2 linked regions of the Lepisosteus oculatus genome follow. The protein of the gene in region 2 interacts with the protein of the main gene of each other region in a pairwise test. Links are inferred from orthologs where the notes say so. Each region holds a gene or a part of one and is shown on either strand. Other genes may lie near its edges.

Evidence for each region. The genes of interacting proteins can lie anywhere in the genome.
Region 1: the proteins of E3 ubiquitin-protein ligase TRIM63 (region 2) and ckma interact in a two-hybrid assay, tested with the Homo sapiens proteins (2 studies listed by BioGRID). The link is inferred for Lepisosteus oculatus from reciprocal best matches to the Homo sapiens genes TRIM63 and CKM.

The regions. Positions count from the first base shown.
Region 1 is NC_090698.1:1,919,568-1,927,205, reverse strand, and holds the start of ckma (creatine kinase, muscle a), read right to left. Parts: upstream 3,005-7,638; 5' UTR 2,894-3,004; intron 1-2,893. UniProt on the Homo sapiens protein: Reversibly catalyzes the transfer of phosphate between ATP and various phosphogens (e.g. creatine phosphate).
Region 2 is NC_090706.1:9,008,291-9,015,207, forward strand, and holds the start of E3 ubiquitin-protein ligase TRIM63, read left to right. Parts: upstream 1-3,902; 5' UTR 3,903-4,077; coding exon 4,078-4,236; intron 4,237-6,520; coding exon 6,521-6,687; intron 6,688-6,917. UniProt on the Homo sapiens protein: E3 ubiquitin ligase. Mediates the ubiquitination and subsequent proteasomal degradation of CKM, GMEB1 and HIBADH.

The sequences.
Region 1 (7,638 bases), on a different chromosome or scaffold from region 2:
GGTAAGTCATCTGTTTGACAGAACGAAGCAGGGAGCCCACAGACGACAAAACTCTCCACTGTACAGAGTCTCAGTCTAATGCTGTTCTTTTCATTATAAGAATATAAGTGCACTGGCTGAAGCTCCTGGTACTAGTTCCTACTGGTCTCTTTACATCTACAATTTGACTGTAGACACAGCGTCATACAGTAACACTCTGAGAGATGTGCAATGCAGAAAGTGTCTAGCTGGATGGTCTCCACACTGAAGTGCCGCCTTCTTTTCCTTTTCCAGGGTTATGGAAGGTCCATTTTTGATCCTGGTGTGCAAAAATCATCCAGTGTCTTGCTATTCTAAATGCCCAGCTCATCCCTAGCCTAGCAAGGAGCTGAGGGGAGGGGAGACTGCTGGGAACAGCTGTGCACTGTACCATGTGTCAACTGATCCAACAGCCCTGCAGACTTTGCTAAGGCTCTCCCAGCTTGCTTCAGCCAGCGCATCAGGTTTCCTCTATGAATAGAGACGAGAGGAGCTTCTGTGGGTGTATGTGCACAGGGTAGCGGCATGTATAAATAGGCTGCCCCCCCCCCCCCATTCTTTCCTATCTCCCACCACTTAAAGGGAGCACACTAGGCAAATGTGCTCTGCCATGCAGCTGCTGTCTTCTGTTCTGGAACAGCTCTCCCTGAGGATCAGCTTACAGGCTGGCCCGGCCTGCATTCACACGTCCGGCAATTAAACTGCATGCAGATGCCTCTCCAACATGCACAGCTCGCAGCTGCTCCTCTGGGGGCAGTTTTATATCTTTTAACTCCCTTGACAACACTTTACTCTGGGGCACTTTCATTGCTAGCTTCTGGTTTGCTTTGAAACTCTTTCAGCTTCATCATTGGATGGCTGTAGGAGGTAACGTTGTCTCTAGTTAATGCAGAACTTGTTTTTTTTCCTGAAACGTAAGTAAAAAAGTCTTTTGTGTAACCTGAGTCTGCTAGTGTCTGTTGGTGATGTTCATTTTGTTTCTCTCCTTAAAGAAAAGAACCTCCTGCAGGACCGCTTTAAACATTTCGTGGAGTGCCAGATTTTCTCTGGTGTTTTGGAACTCAAACTTCTGTTTTTAAGCATCAAACATGTCAGCAACACACCCATCTGCAACAACCTGAGATTTTTCATTTCTTTATTAGATGACCAGGTTTTTGTCGCCAGATGTCTTACACAAGAAAGATGTCTTTCTTTTTTCTGGATTGTTCAGTTTTTTTCATTCCTTTAACTTTTCTGAACTAAAATGTACCAGTGTTAAAAAAGTCCAATTTTTTTGTTTTGCAGAGCATCAATGCCAGGGCAGCTGTTGCACCAGGAAATTGAAGTGGGTTTTGTCAGAGAAAGCCAGCAAGTTTGCAAAGTAATAATTGAGCACAAACGGGGCTTTCATGGACAGGACCATCTCTGGCTGAGTTCATTCTGCATTATCCTAGGAGAAGGAATTCCCACACCAGTGACAAGAGAAACTGGACAGAAAGGGATCTGATGTCTGGCTCTTCTGGAATCTGGTTTAGATGGGGAAGGAGAGAAAAATCTCAAACAAAAAGCCGTCCATAGATCATTCGCTTGCATACAACGTTAGCGAACTGCTGTGGACTGTGTGACAAAGACAGGTGGTGTGGGAGACAGAAATCAGAAATCGTCAGCTGTCATGACAGCTTATCACACCAAGACCAAGACACAGATTACACAGCACTCTGTGTTGTATTGATTGTGCGTACACTTGTCGTAAGTGGACCATCACCTGCAAATTGCAACTACAGTACTTTGGATTAGTGTGATTAGTATTGGCACTGACACAGTACTTATCAAATACTTGCTGTCAAGCCTTTAGCATTTGCCAATAGATACAGAATGCTTTCTAAGTGTTTTTAAGTGGTTAAGCAGTTATGCAGAAAAAAATCAAGATAAGTCTGCCACTGTTAGACATTCACAAGTAAATGGGAACATTGTGGCACTGCATTGCAACACAATATACCTTTGCAACTGCTCATTGCTCTGTGTTACACTGCAGCAATCTTGAAATAACACCTCTTCCTTTTACATCAGGTGCACATTTGGAGCCGATAGGTATAAAACCAAAAGGCCAAGTCTGGTATTTTCTTCTTCTCCTGTGACCTTGAAGGGTCCTTGACTTTGGCATCGTAAAGTCCGGCAGAGACCGGTGACACTGCCCTGTCCACGCTCACTGATAAAACACGGCATAAGAGAAGCGAAATTCTCCATTCATGCCCTCTCCTTCCACCTCTTCCCTGATCTCTACTGCCTTCACTCTCAGGGCTGATGAGGACCGACAGAGCCCTCTCTCCCTGCTGCCACTGTGTTGCGTTCTGCAGCACAGACCCTTCACACAAGCAGCTGATAAGAGCCAAGGGCACAGAGCTCCACCACTTTGCGCGATGGTGCAGTGCAGCCTTGTTCAACGCAGAGCCCTCTGTGAAACCCACAGGAGTTTCGAGCAGTTTGCAATCTTGAATGGGAGGTCAGAAATGTCACATTCTGTGCAAAGTCACAAGCCAGGTCCAAAACCCATAGATCGGCAGTAACACTTCATAAGTCCTAGCAAAAAACTTCACTTCACCTAGCAAAATCTCACAGCTTAACTGTAAAAAATGCAACAGCAGGCCACTGTTCAGACCCTTGGTGGTCCTTTCTTTACACAGCAAATGGGAGTTTTAAAGCAATGTACAAATAAATGGATAATTAAAAGTGAATAATGCCTTCCCTCTGGTTTTGGAGGTAGATCGTAACTTTTATTTTTTTTAAAGAGTTAAAATGAAGCTTTATTTTTTTTACTAGGACACATTTCAGAACACCCCAATCTGCCCTTCACCCACCCCACCAAAACATCCAAGGACAGTCAAAGAGGATTTACCTGGATGGGATGAAAAAGGAGAGGTAACAGTCCTTGGGATCAGATCCTTTTCACCAAAGCCGAAATAGGGGTAGCCCAAGGTCCAAGGAGTCAAGCCTTAGGTTTATATACTAGGCTGCCCTCAGGCCATTGGTCAGCTGGGTTTCTGAGTGCGGAGCCCGGATTGGTCAGCCCCTCGTCTCCAGCGCTGCTCAGATTTGGGAAGGCAGGGGCTCACGTCACAGTGACCTAAGATGGGACGGCAGCTGCCATCTCTCTTCCTGCTCTCCAGGCCCACATGCAGCTCGGGGGGGAGGAGAGAGCCTCCATGTGCGTGTGCAAACCCAAGCCCCCGTTTGCCAAACATACTTGCCGTGCCTAATGGCTTTAGAGCTGGAAAAATACCTTTGCTATCTTCCGTATCACGCACCGTAGAGTTGGCATTGGTTCTCTGCTTTCAGCGTGGTGACATCTGGGACTTAAGCATGCGCCTGTGTGTGGCAGAGTGCGTATTGAGATTAAAATGATTGATTTTTATTCTTGTCAGGCAGCTTCTCGTTGCTAGTCCTCCATCGGTGCGGGATATTTAAGCAGCTGCGCTCCTGAGTCTCCGTGAGTCGGGGAGCACAGCCGGGGCAGCTTGGGTTAGGGTGTGTGGAGGGGGTCCCTAGTTTGGACAAGAACCGTGCTGAAGGAGATGTTTACCTTAAAGAAGAAGCTGTGGGGCTCTAACTGTGAAAGATGATTGTGATATCTGAAGAGGAGAGCTTCTTTAATGATCTGCTACTGGAGTTATACAATTGTTATCCCTGCCTATTGTTCTTTCTCTGGGCCTCTCATGTGTCAAACTGTAGACAGGTGTGAGAATTGTGTCACAGATCAACACAGTGTCACATGTCCTAGAAGCTAAAATTGTATCCCATTATCCTAAGATTCCTTGGCTTCCTGGGGCTGGGCAAGAGATTTTGCAACTTTTGTCTTGGATTTATTTTCCATGGCTGTTGATGCGAAAGTGATGGTTTTCAGGAAAAGATTTCTTTAAGTGCCTCATGGTTCGATTTTGGAAGAGCAGAGGTGTCTCAGCTGTGCAAAGAAGGTTTGTTGTTTGTCAGCAAGCAAAGCTGTTATTGACAAGAGCAGAAGATCACTTGCAAGGGGACTTTTCTGATGGTTTCTTTCATGATTGGGCTTTGAAAGCATTTCCTTTAAAGCAGAGAAAATGAAACCATTTTAATAACTATTAGCATTGCAGACAGAAGTTTTGAGGTTTATGGATAGACAGAAGAGATCAAAAGATGCCATCAATCCCCATGAGAAGCCTAGAGATAAAAAAATTGCCTAAGTTCTGGCTCATACAGATTCAGTTTGAAGAGCTATTTATCTTCTTGGACAATTGTGCGGTTAGCTACTAGATGTGAAATTAAAACAAATTTCATTTTATATCTCAGGGAGTATTTGTGGCTGTGAGCAGTCTAATTATGTTTCTATTGCTTAGAAAAATGACTGTTGTCCTTCCCTGCTAGTGTCCAGTGTTGATGGCAAGAGGTGATTTCTTGACGAAAGAACAAGTGCTTGAGAAGGATGATCAATGATCGATCAAAATGTGTTTTGGAGGACTGATGGCCCAGTCTGAGTCCTCACAGCATTATGCAATCTAGTAAAACAGGGCTGTAGCAGAAGAGTAACATAACAGCAGGTTGAGCAGAACAACTCAAGTTTTTAAAAGGCAGTTTGTAAGTTTTAGTGTGTTGTGCAAGGGACAGGAGGACAGGAACCATGGAGAACAATCTTGTGGTTAAAAGTGACACCTCTGAACCCTCTAGTGCCGCACGGGGGTCTAAGGCTTGTGATGTGTCCAGCCAGGGCAGTTTGCGAGAGAACTCTTTTCCACCGGGCTAGATTTGCAGGATACTTGTCTGTGTGAGGTTCAGCCCAGCTCTGCGCCTCTGGATGTCAGAGAAGCCCCAGCAACAGGGTTGTTTTTTTTCTTTCTGTCGCTGAGGCTATTTCCAGTGGTATGCACACGTCGCTGCCAGAGAACGAAAGGACATCACACGCTCCGTAGGTCGTGCCAGCGGGCAGGTGTAAGACCCGCTTGCTGTTCCAGTTGGCAAGCACAGTTCGGGTGCAGCATTTTTCAGTCCTCCCCCTCCTAGCAGTACAGTCTGTGACGACCGCACCTGTTGGGCATCAGCCCCCACTCGGGACTAATGGTTTATCCAGCGGGACCATGTGACCAGAAACCAGGCCGCAGCCTCACTGAGGCTCTGCAGGGAGGAGAGCAGAAACACGAAGGAAAGAACTCCTTTCCACCTGTTTCTGTGTCCGCAGTACGTCCAGCAGCAGTAGTAGGACATGAGTGGAAAGAAGAGACTGATCAGGGAGTTTAAAAAGTCGGAAACAACTGGCCCAATCGCTATCCTCCTCCTTGCAATTTAAAATGTTAGTAAGACAAGAAACTAATGTATGACAGGTGAGCCAGACATCCTTTTCCATTGCTGGTTATTTGGGTTCACGTTGGGGGTGTTCAGCTCTAGCCCTCCAGGACCACAGAGTCTTCTGATGTTCATCTCCAAATTCCTAAATGTCCTCATTGCCTTTTAAAGCCAGATGTTAGCTTCATTGGACCAAATTAATTCTCTCCCTAGGTCTTAAATAGACAATGGTTTTCTTGAGCTGAGAAGACCAGGTGGACAGCTGCTCTCGTGGACCAGTGCTGGTTTACCTCAAGGATCTCTGTAGAATTCAGATTTGTTTGTGCTTTGTGCATGTGGTGCACGTTGAATGTGTTCCCCCACATCCCCACGTTACAGAATCCCAGCTGGGTGTTGGGGATACAGACTGAGACACTGCAGTGTGTAAGGAGATGTGCACACCTGTGATATTGCACAGAGGATGCCTGCAGCGGCTGATTATTGTGTTGCTGTTGCACCCCGAGTAGCACAATGACCTTGAGTGTGAGTGAACAGGGATCGACTCTCAGCAGCGTTAGCATGGGAGCTGAAGTCCTGGTTTGAAATTCGTGGGAAAGTGGCAGAGGATGAAGAGATACTTTTTAGTTAGTCTGTAAAGTCCGCAAAGGCTTACAGAATGAAAGGTAGAAACAGAAAGTCTTGTGGAGAAGAAAACCAAACAGCAGATGAGCATTGGTTGTGGGGGGTGAAGAGAGGGCAGAAGGCAGGGTAATGCTGGGGGAATAGGGAGGGAGCTGGAGGAGGGGTGGCACCGAAGTGACCTTGCTCTAAATCAGCCCTGAGGGTTCAGTTTCGCAGCTGTTGAGCTCCTGTCCATCCCTGACATGACTTACCAAATTAGTCTCTGCCTGGGCTCCCTGTCCCTTGTCCTCCCCTATCGCATGCTCCCTGTCTCCTGCCTTCACCCACAGCAAACGCAAAAAAACCAGGTGCCACAGGGGAGGCTGCAGAAACACAGAAGGCCAGCTGGCACAATCACCATGACCATCTTCAAGACAGCCCACATCTACAGCTCTGGCATGTCCTGCTGACTGTGTGGCTGTGCTCAGAGTTTACACCTCAGCTGTTAGCTGGTTGAATGATGCCGTTTTACAGTTGTGTTATTGCTTGGTTTCCTTTTGATGAGCCTCGGTAATGACAAAACAAGGCCATTTTCCTGTGTCGCTTGAGTAAGTGCACTTTTCAGTCTGCTGGAGTGTAAGTGTCCCTCTGACACAACTCTTTGCAAAACTGGTGTTTGGAAGTGTTCAGTGTTCTTCGCTGGGTCTGTCTCTTCTCTGAGATTCTGAGTGCAGCTCGGACTCATAACTCATGGGCTATTGTCTTCATGGGCGGGTTAGAGTCCCAGCTGCAATTAGAAAGGAACTGTTTGAAATCAGGGAGGAAGGAGGAAGCAGAGCTAGAAGGACAGAGGGAACTGGGAGCAGGAAGCAGGACGTGGGAAACAGGTCGGTGGGAGTGTGAGTAAAGTCTTTGGCCAGTGGCCATCAAGTGTGATCCTGCTGCTGAGCAAAGGGCTCAACAGCCGCAGGTCACTGGTGACTTTCCAGAATAGCCTGCAGTGGGATGCCTGACTGTCTAACAGTGCAGTGTGGAGCAGAACTGGTTATGTAATCCAGAGAGGTTTGCCTGTGGCCTTCGCTGTGACTCTGTGAAAACCTCTGGCTGACAGGCTGTTGACAACCTCTTCTTGGGTTAACCTGAGGAAACTGCGAGGCACGCTCATGCACACAGAGCACAAAGCAGAGCAGACACTCACAGGGCAGCGGCCAGTGCATCATGCAGTGGAGCCTGTTGCAGGCTCTCATACAGATGGGTGAAATTTGCACAATGGGATTGCAGACACAATGTTTTCACGATGATCAGAGGTGCTCATTTTTATAATAGCAGTGCGTTTTGAATGCCCTCTGACAACGATTGCTCTCTGCTACTTTTCTACATTCTCCTGTGGCCCGTATTATTGATAGATACCAAATGAATTCTCAAATACTCTCGGATATTTGCAGATATGTGTAGTGCACCTCACCAGCTGCATATGATAGGAGACAGCCACTGCAAGGTATTTTGAGCTGGTTCTTTTTTTTGCATTTGGAAACTCTTGTAATTAATTTATTTGCAGAGGCAGATGAGCATTTCATAATACAAATGTGTGTTACTTTTATGATTTTGAAATGAATTCTGAACCTAGACAAACTGCTACACACATGCGAGCTTTATTTCTATCCCAGTCCAACATGCTGTGGAAAGCATGAGCTCATTTTTACCTGAAGCAAAGAATCAGCTAGGATTGAG
Region 2 (6,917 bases):
AAAACAAACTGGAAAAGAGGTGTGCGCCCATCAGGACTACAGTAAATAACAGACCTTCTGTTGGAAGAGTACCAGCCACAGGTGTACCAGATGTATGTTTTTTATTTAGAATTCTGGACAGCTGATAAAAAAAAAATATTTTGTAATTTCTCCTTTATCTTGCATGGATCTCAGGTCTGAAAAATGTGTCAACCGTGATATGATATTTCTTGTAATAAATGTTATGTAAAGTCTTTTGTAAAAAAAACAAATGGCTGCTCTCTAAGAAAAATTGTTCCAGCGGGGAACGAAGCATTGAATTTTCATGAACTACATATGTCCTCTGTACTTTACAACAGCCTACGTTGCACAAAAGCCCGGGTAGGCAAAAGGTGCTATTACATGTATGTATATACTGCCATTTCCTGTGTTTAATAAAGTACTTTTATGCTCATGTTATGAGAGTGGGTTTGCATTTTAATGATATTTGAACTGGTGATCTGGCATCCCTCTGTTTCAGCACGTGAATGATACACAGTAATACAACTGAAGCTCCTTGGGCCCATAACATCAATAGACAACGTTACCAGTATTTAGCTTGATATCTCCTCACATCAGAAGCTTAGCAAGGTTGGGTCTTGTCAGTACTCAGATGGAAGACCTGCAAGGAAGAAGTTGCAGCTATAAGTGGTGGTGGTGTACCAGTATGCAACATGCTTCCCTCTGAACCAATGCTCTAGTATGGTGACAGGTCACACAAGAGGAACAGTCTTTTGGATGAGGCGTTAAAGGTACCTGTACTGACTACAAGGTCATGCCACTGTTCATAGGTGTAGATGTGTTTAACAAATGTCCTAGCTAAATTCCACTCAAGAAAGTGAGTTTCTGTTGCTTTATAATAAACTAACAGGGGGATTGATGTTTTTTGCTCTAAAAGAACTCTAAATCCTAACATACTGAACATATGATGATACCAGATAGACCAGAGGCAATATGTGTAAAATATTATGTTTTTTTTTTTAAATGTAGCTTTGGAAGTTTAAATAAACTCAAATAGGGAGAGAAACACATTTTGCACTGGAATAAAATGTTTTGAAAGTTTTCCTGTTAATGTTTTACCATTTTAAAAAGGCGATTGATAGAACACCTAGTATTTATTCTACCACCAACTGTATATGTGCATAGAAAGTTTTTGTAGTTTGCTTGTTGTTCTTTCACTGTATTACAACTGAAAGTTCCATTTTATATTTTCTGTGCTATGACAGTAAAATTCAATACTCATGACACTGCCAACCTGTTATTCTTGTTATGAGTTTACAGTCTGTGGGAGGGCCAGAAATAGCTTAGCCTGGCTGACACTATGGGCAGGAAATTGAGCCAAAGGTCTCGAGACTGCATGAGCAGACTTGTACAGTAAGTAACAATCGGCTTCGGATGCATATGCTGTGACCCCCTTTTCATACAGGCAGAACTGCTTTTATTATCTCCTCTTCCCTAGAAACCACTGTCTCTGCTGTATTTTGATACAAAATAGAATCGTCTGACTTGTTTGTCTTAGTCATGCTGATCAACAGTTTTGTGCACTAGAGTAACTCCATCCTGTTATTTTAGCTCAATATGTTCAGATGTCCCACTTAGCAGTGGTTGGCATTACGGCCTCACGGTGCTGGGGCTTGATCTGGAGTGCTTTCTGTGTGGAGTTTGCATGTTCACCATGTGTTCTCCCTATGTTTCTGTGGGTTTCCTCTGGGTGCTCTGATTTCCACCCAGTCCAAAAACATACTGGTTGAGTAACTGGCTCTAAGGAAAATTGGTCCTGGCGTGAATGTGTGTGGGTGTTTGTGTCTATGTGTGCCCTGCAAGGGACTGGCATCCCATTCAGGGTGTATCCTGCCTTGCACCAGTTGCTTGGCGTGACAGGCACTAGCTCCGTTGCGACCCTGAATTGGATGAAGAGGTTTGAAGATGGATGGGACTGATGAATTTCTGACTAGTGAGAAAATTGGTTGTGATGTGTATCCTGACTTGCATCTTTTGCTTTGCTAGGATAGACCATAACTCTATTCACCTAACCCTACTCTGTCCTGAAATGCCAGCGTTTTTTTATCTGAAAATTTACCTAAAGAAGATACGGTAAATTTCCAAGCGCGTTTTTCAGTGGTTTTAATGCTTTTAGACATATATTTATTGATTTGAGTAACATTTTCAAATCTGCAGGATTTGGTTAGGGGTAGCATTCCCACAGAACTTACACATATTTTACGATCACCGCTGGATTTGGGGGCTTAGGTGAAATTTAGGACGACTGATAATTTGATCCTATCTTCAAAGATTTTTGCCTGCTCATATTGTTTATTACAGTGTTCGGTATCTATTCCAAAAGTGAGTCAAATATAAAGTTGTAAGAAAACATTTTGTTGTTTAAAATGCAACTAAAATTATAACTCCAGTCAATATTAAATAGTTCTTGTAACCCTAACCCTACTCTGGCTTAAAATGCACAATTGTTTAAATACTATTGTAATAGCGTTTTTCAGCTGATTGAAAATTTGCCTAAAGAAGATACAGTCTTCAAGAAGAAACATTTCCACAAGCTTTTTTCTGTGGTTTTGATTATTTTTTCTAATATTAATTGGTTTGAGGAACATTTTCCAATCTGTTGATTTGAGGGCTTCAGAGACAGATTACAGAATTGCTAACTCGGACCCTGGCTAGGGTTAGGGTTAGCATTCGTACACTACATACACATTTTTTATGCTCAGTGCTGATAATTTGCTCTTCTTTTTTTGGAGAGTTTTGGCTACTCATGTTGTACAGTGTTCAGTAAGTGTATTGCAATGGTGACCCAGATCAAAAGTTGTAAAAAAACTTGTTCTACTGTTTAAACTCTCTTAATTTTGTCAAAGTGCAAATAAATGTTTAACTGCTGTCAACTTTTAAGGGGTTCTTGTTACCCTAACCCTAATCTAGCCTGAAATGCACAATCATCTTGAAGACCATTTTTAGTGTTTCACAGCTGATTGAAAAATGTGTCTAAAGGAGTCTTAAAGATGATAAATTTCCAAGAGCTTTTTTCAGTAGTTTTGATTTTTTCCTCATATCTGTTGGTTTCTGAAACATTTTAAAATCTGATAATTTGAGGGCTTTAGAGACAGATTGCAGATTTGCTCATTCTAAACCCTGGCTTGGGTTAGGGATAGGGCAGGAAAAGTGTTGTTTCTCTATTTGTTTCACAGATTAATTTGGCCCAGTTTTAATTTTGCCCCCTTTTGTCAACTGTTGATTAAGACTTTTGAGAATTAGATCATTTCAATTCAAGATTATACAGTGTTGGTTGTTTTCAGCCTGCATATTCTCGAGATTCAAGTAAGTGTAACTGTTTTTTATTGGGTGTCCAACCCAGACAAAGCAAACAGGAATGCATGTGCAAATGAGGAGTTGTATTTGGCTTTATAGAAGACCTGTTGTATGCAACTACTTGACAAGGCCTTCATGTCAAGAGTGACACATTCTCACAGTGGATGGTGCACATATTCTATTGTAAATGTTTCTACATTAAAGAAGAAACAATCTTGTACCATATTCATAGGTTCACAAAAGTATTGGTAAGATATTGTTAATAAATGCAAACTAACATGATTTACTCAGAATAAGCAATAAATACAAAACAAAACAGTAGGAGCTTTCTTCGAGACCCTGTAGAATCATTAAGAACATACTGTACACAGCAGTGTGTGAAATAAGCCAACTACAGGGAAAATGACCAGATTTATTGTAATCTATCCCTTTAAGGGGTTCTACGAGAGATATCCTGCAGAGGCATTCCTCAGGGCAGCATGTGATAAGGACAGGCAGAGAGCTGATTTTTCTAGGCTAGCTATCAGACCCCAGGAATGCACAGGAGCAGGGCTGGGATCAAGTGACTCCATCCAGGGGTATAAATAGAGCCTGACGCTGGGTGATAGGCAAAACTCTCCACATGCCTGCAATGATTCGGAAAGACAGAGGAGTTATAACAAAAAGGAGCTTCTTTCTTTTCCCGGAAAAGAGTGTGAATAAAGGCCAAGAAGCTGTTTAAACAACTATAAATCTAAGGACATGGATTTCCAATCGAGCATCATCCAGGAGTCCAACAGGATGGAGAACCTGGAGAAGCAGTTGATCTGCCCCATTTGCCTGGAGATCTTCTCCAAGCCTGTGGTCATTCTGCCTTGCCAACACAACCTGTGTCGAAAATGTGCCAATGATGTGTTTCAGGTGAGCTATGTACCTCAGTGCTTGGAGACCAGAATTTCAGTCTTTGCAGTAAGAATGTAGAGAAACATCAATTTCTAGTCACTTATTTTTATTTACTCATGCTGTTGCTCAAACTTTCTGCTACCTAGCTATGCATCTATCCTGTGAAAATTATTTGTCAGGAAAAGGTGATTTAAATACTGAAATCAGAACCCAGTGTAATTCCATGCAATGGTTTAATCTATTATTTCTAACATTAAGGACACACTTTAATTTAGCTCTTAAGGAATCTTTTTCATGCAGAAGAAGACGAGTCAAAGTTTCAATTACTGGCTTGGGTAGTTCGTTCTATTTGTCCAAAGGCTGTCTGCAAAAACTGGACAATGCAAGAAGCAGATTTTTTTATGTGGTCATTTGTAAGATTGGCAATGCGGGTCATAGCCACCAAAATAGAACCAGAATTCTCATGCAAAGTAATTCCAGGATTGCCTTAGAGAAAGATAGTCTAGCCTTTGGCTTGCCAAACGTGTTACCATTCACGCTGAACAGAACGCAAAGGTTGTCTTAGGATACAGTGTGCTTTGTTTCTGTAGTCTTTCAGCTAGAATAATAAAATGACTGATGTCCTGGAATGAGCCATTCACCTTATCCATGGAAGGACAAGAGACTAGGTGGAGAGAACAAAAGCTGTTAAAGCAGGTCATCAAGGACTACATGGGTCTATTTCTGTGGTGTGTTGAAATGTCTGTTTGATTTAATATTGTATCTTTTCCATGAATAGTTCTATTTGAGAAAAAGTTTAAGATTTTAATTGAGGGTATGATATAAGCAACAGAAGACATATTGGAGCTGATTTATAGCTAATATTCATGTAAGATCTTGCATGTAAAAATGCAATGCTGTTATGTCGCAGGCACTCCAATCAGTTGAAATACACATTGTTCCCACAATTGTTGTTTTAAAATCAGTCTCATCTTCTCCCCTTAAGATGCTTGTGTAAACCTGACCATGTAAAACAAGCTGGCTTTCAATTTGAAATCCACACTTATATGATTTATATTCAGCATCTCGGTTTTTTAGTCCAGTTCATAGTGACATGACAAATGCAAAGGATTACAGAGTTATACCATAAATCAAACATAGGTTTTCCTTTTGATGTTTTAAAGACCTAAACAGCATAATCAGTTAAGCTCTCATTATAACAGATAGTTACTGTACAGTTTTTGGGAAAAGGTTGCAAAGATAGTAAGATTAGTATAAGCTATCAAAGGTAGTATCTAGCTAGTATTAGCTATAAATAAGGATAATTAAATAAGTATTAGCTATAAATAAGCTATAAATGGCTGTTTATAATGGGAAATACCTTATGATACTGACCAAGGTTTGACTACTACAGTGTCAGTGCTATCAATACTCTAATCAGTATTGCATATAAGACAAAAATAAAAATAATAAACTTCTGTATTCACTAATTTATTTTTTTTATTTGAACATACTCTACAGTTAGAGTTAGATTTGAATTTAGAATGTTTTGTTCATTCATAAAGAGATCTTGAAAGGTGGTATATAAAAACAGATTATGGCAGAATGACTGACTTTCCCAGTGTTTTTCTGGGCTTGTGGTCACATTAACCCCAAGCATTTCTATTAACCCAAAAATAGAACGCTGGTATGGTTACAGTAAGCTTGTAAACACTTGCTGTTTGCTGCAGATGGAGGGAGTAGATCACTTTGCTGGCTGTAGCCACTGTAGCAATTGACTCCCACTGGGAGGAGTGGTGACAGTACCAAGCCCTGAGAAGAGCTCCTTGTACACAGCTGACTTAAAGTGGGGTAGCACATTGACAGACGAGCATAGCGCAAGGCGCCTATTAAAATTGCTGTGCCTATTAAAATTCAGTGTTAACCTGCTTTGTGTCTCTCAGCATCATGACATGATCCATTTTCAGTGTTCATCTACAGCAACCATGGTTGTAACTCAGAGCCAGAACCACCAAGTTTATTTTTAATAATGATAATAATGGAATTTTATTTGTGATCCCTTTCCAAGAAACTAGAAGTGTTGTTAATTAACAACAGAGTCCCATTCTTTGTGTAGAAACCAGTGACTGGAGAAACAGAAGGATATTGGGACTGCAGTGCCTTACCATTAGAACGTCCCTTGACATACTGAATATTCTAATGAGACACACCTTGCCTGTGCCTGCCAGCAAGTATCGGCAATGGGACCACTTTGCCTTGACATTTAATGCCCACGAGATGCTCCCCTACTGGCTTGCTGATTCCACATTTTTGGTTGTTCCAGGCTGCAAACCCGTACTGGACGTCCCGTGGTACTAATATTTCGGGAGGCCGTTTCCGGTGTCCATCATGTCGTCACGAGGTGGTCCTGGACCGGCACGGGGTCTACGGGCTGCAGAGGAATCTGCTGGTGGAGAACATCATCGACATCTACAAACAGGAGAGCAGCAGGTCAGAGCAACAGCTGCAGAGAATGGCTTGCCACTGTGCAGTGTGACCACACGCACGGTGTTTACAGTACAGCATGGTAGGACTGATTCTGCTGCTGCAGGACAACATTAACATCTACAAGGAACTGCTAAGTAAGAAGGCGGACACACAACGCAGTCACGGTACAGTACGAAGTACACCTACATGTAGAACAACCAAGAAAAATCCATTTGTGGTGAATATAGCTGACA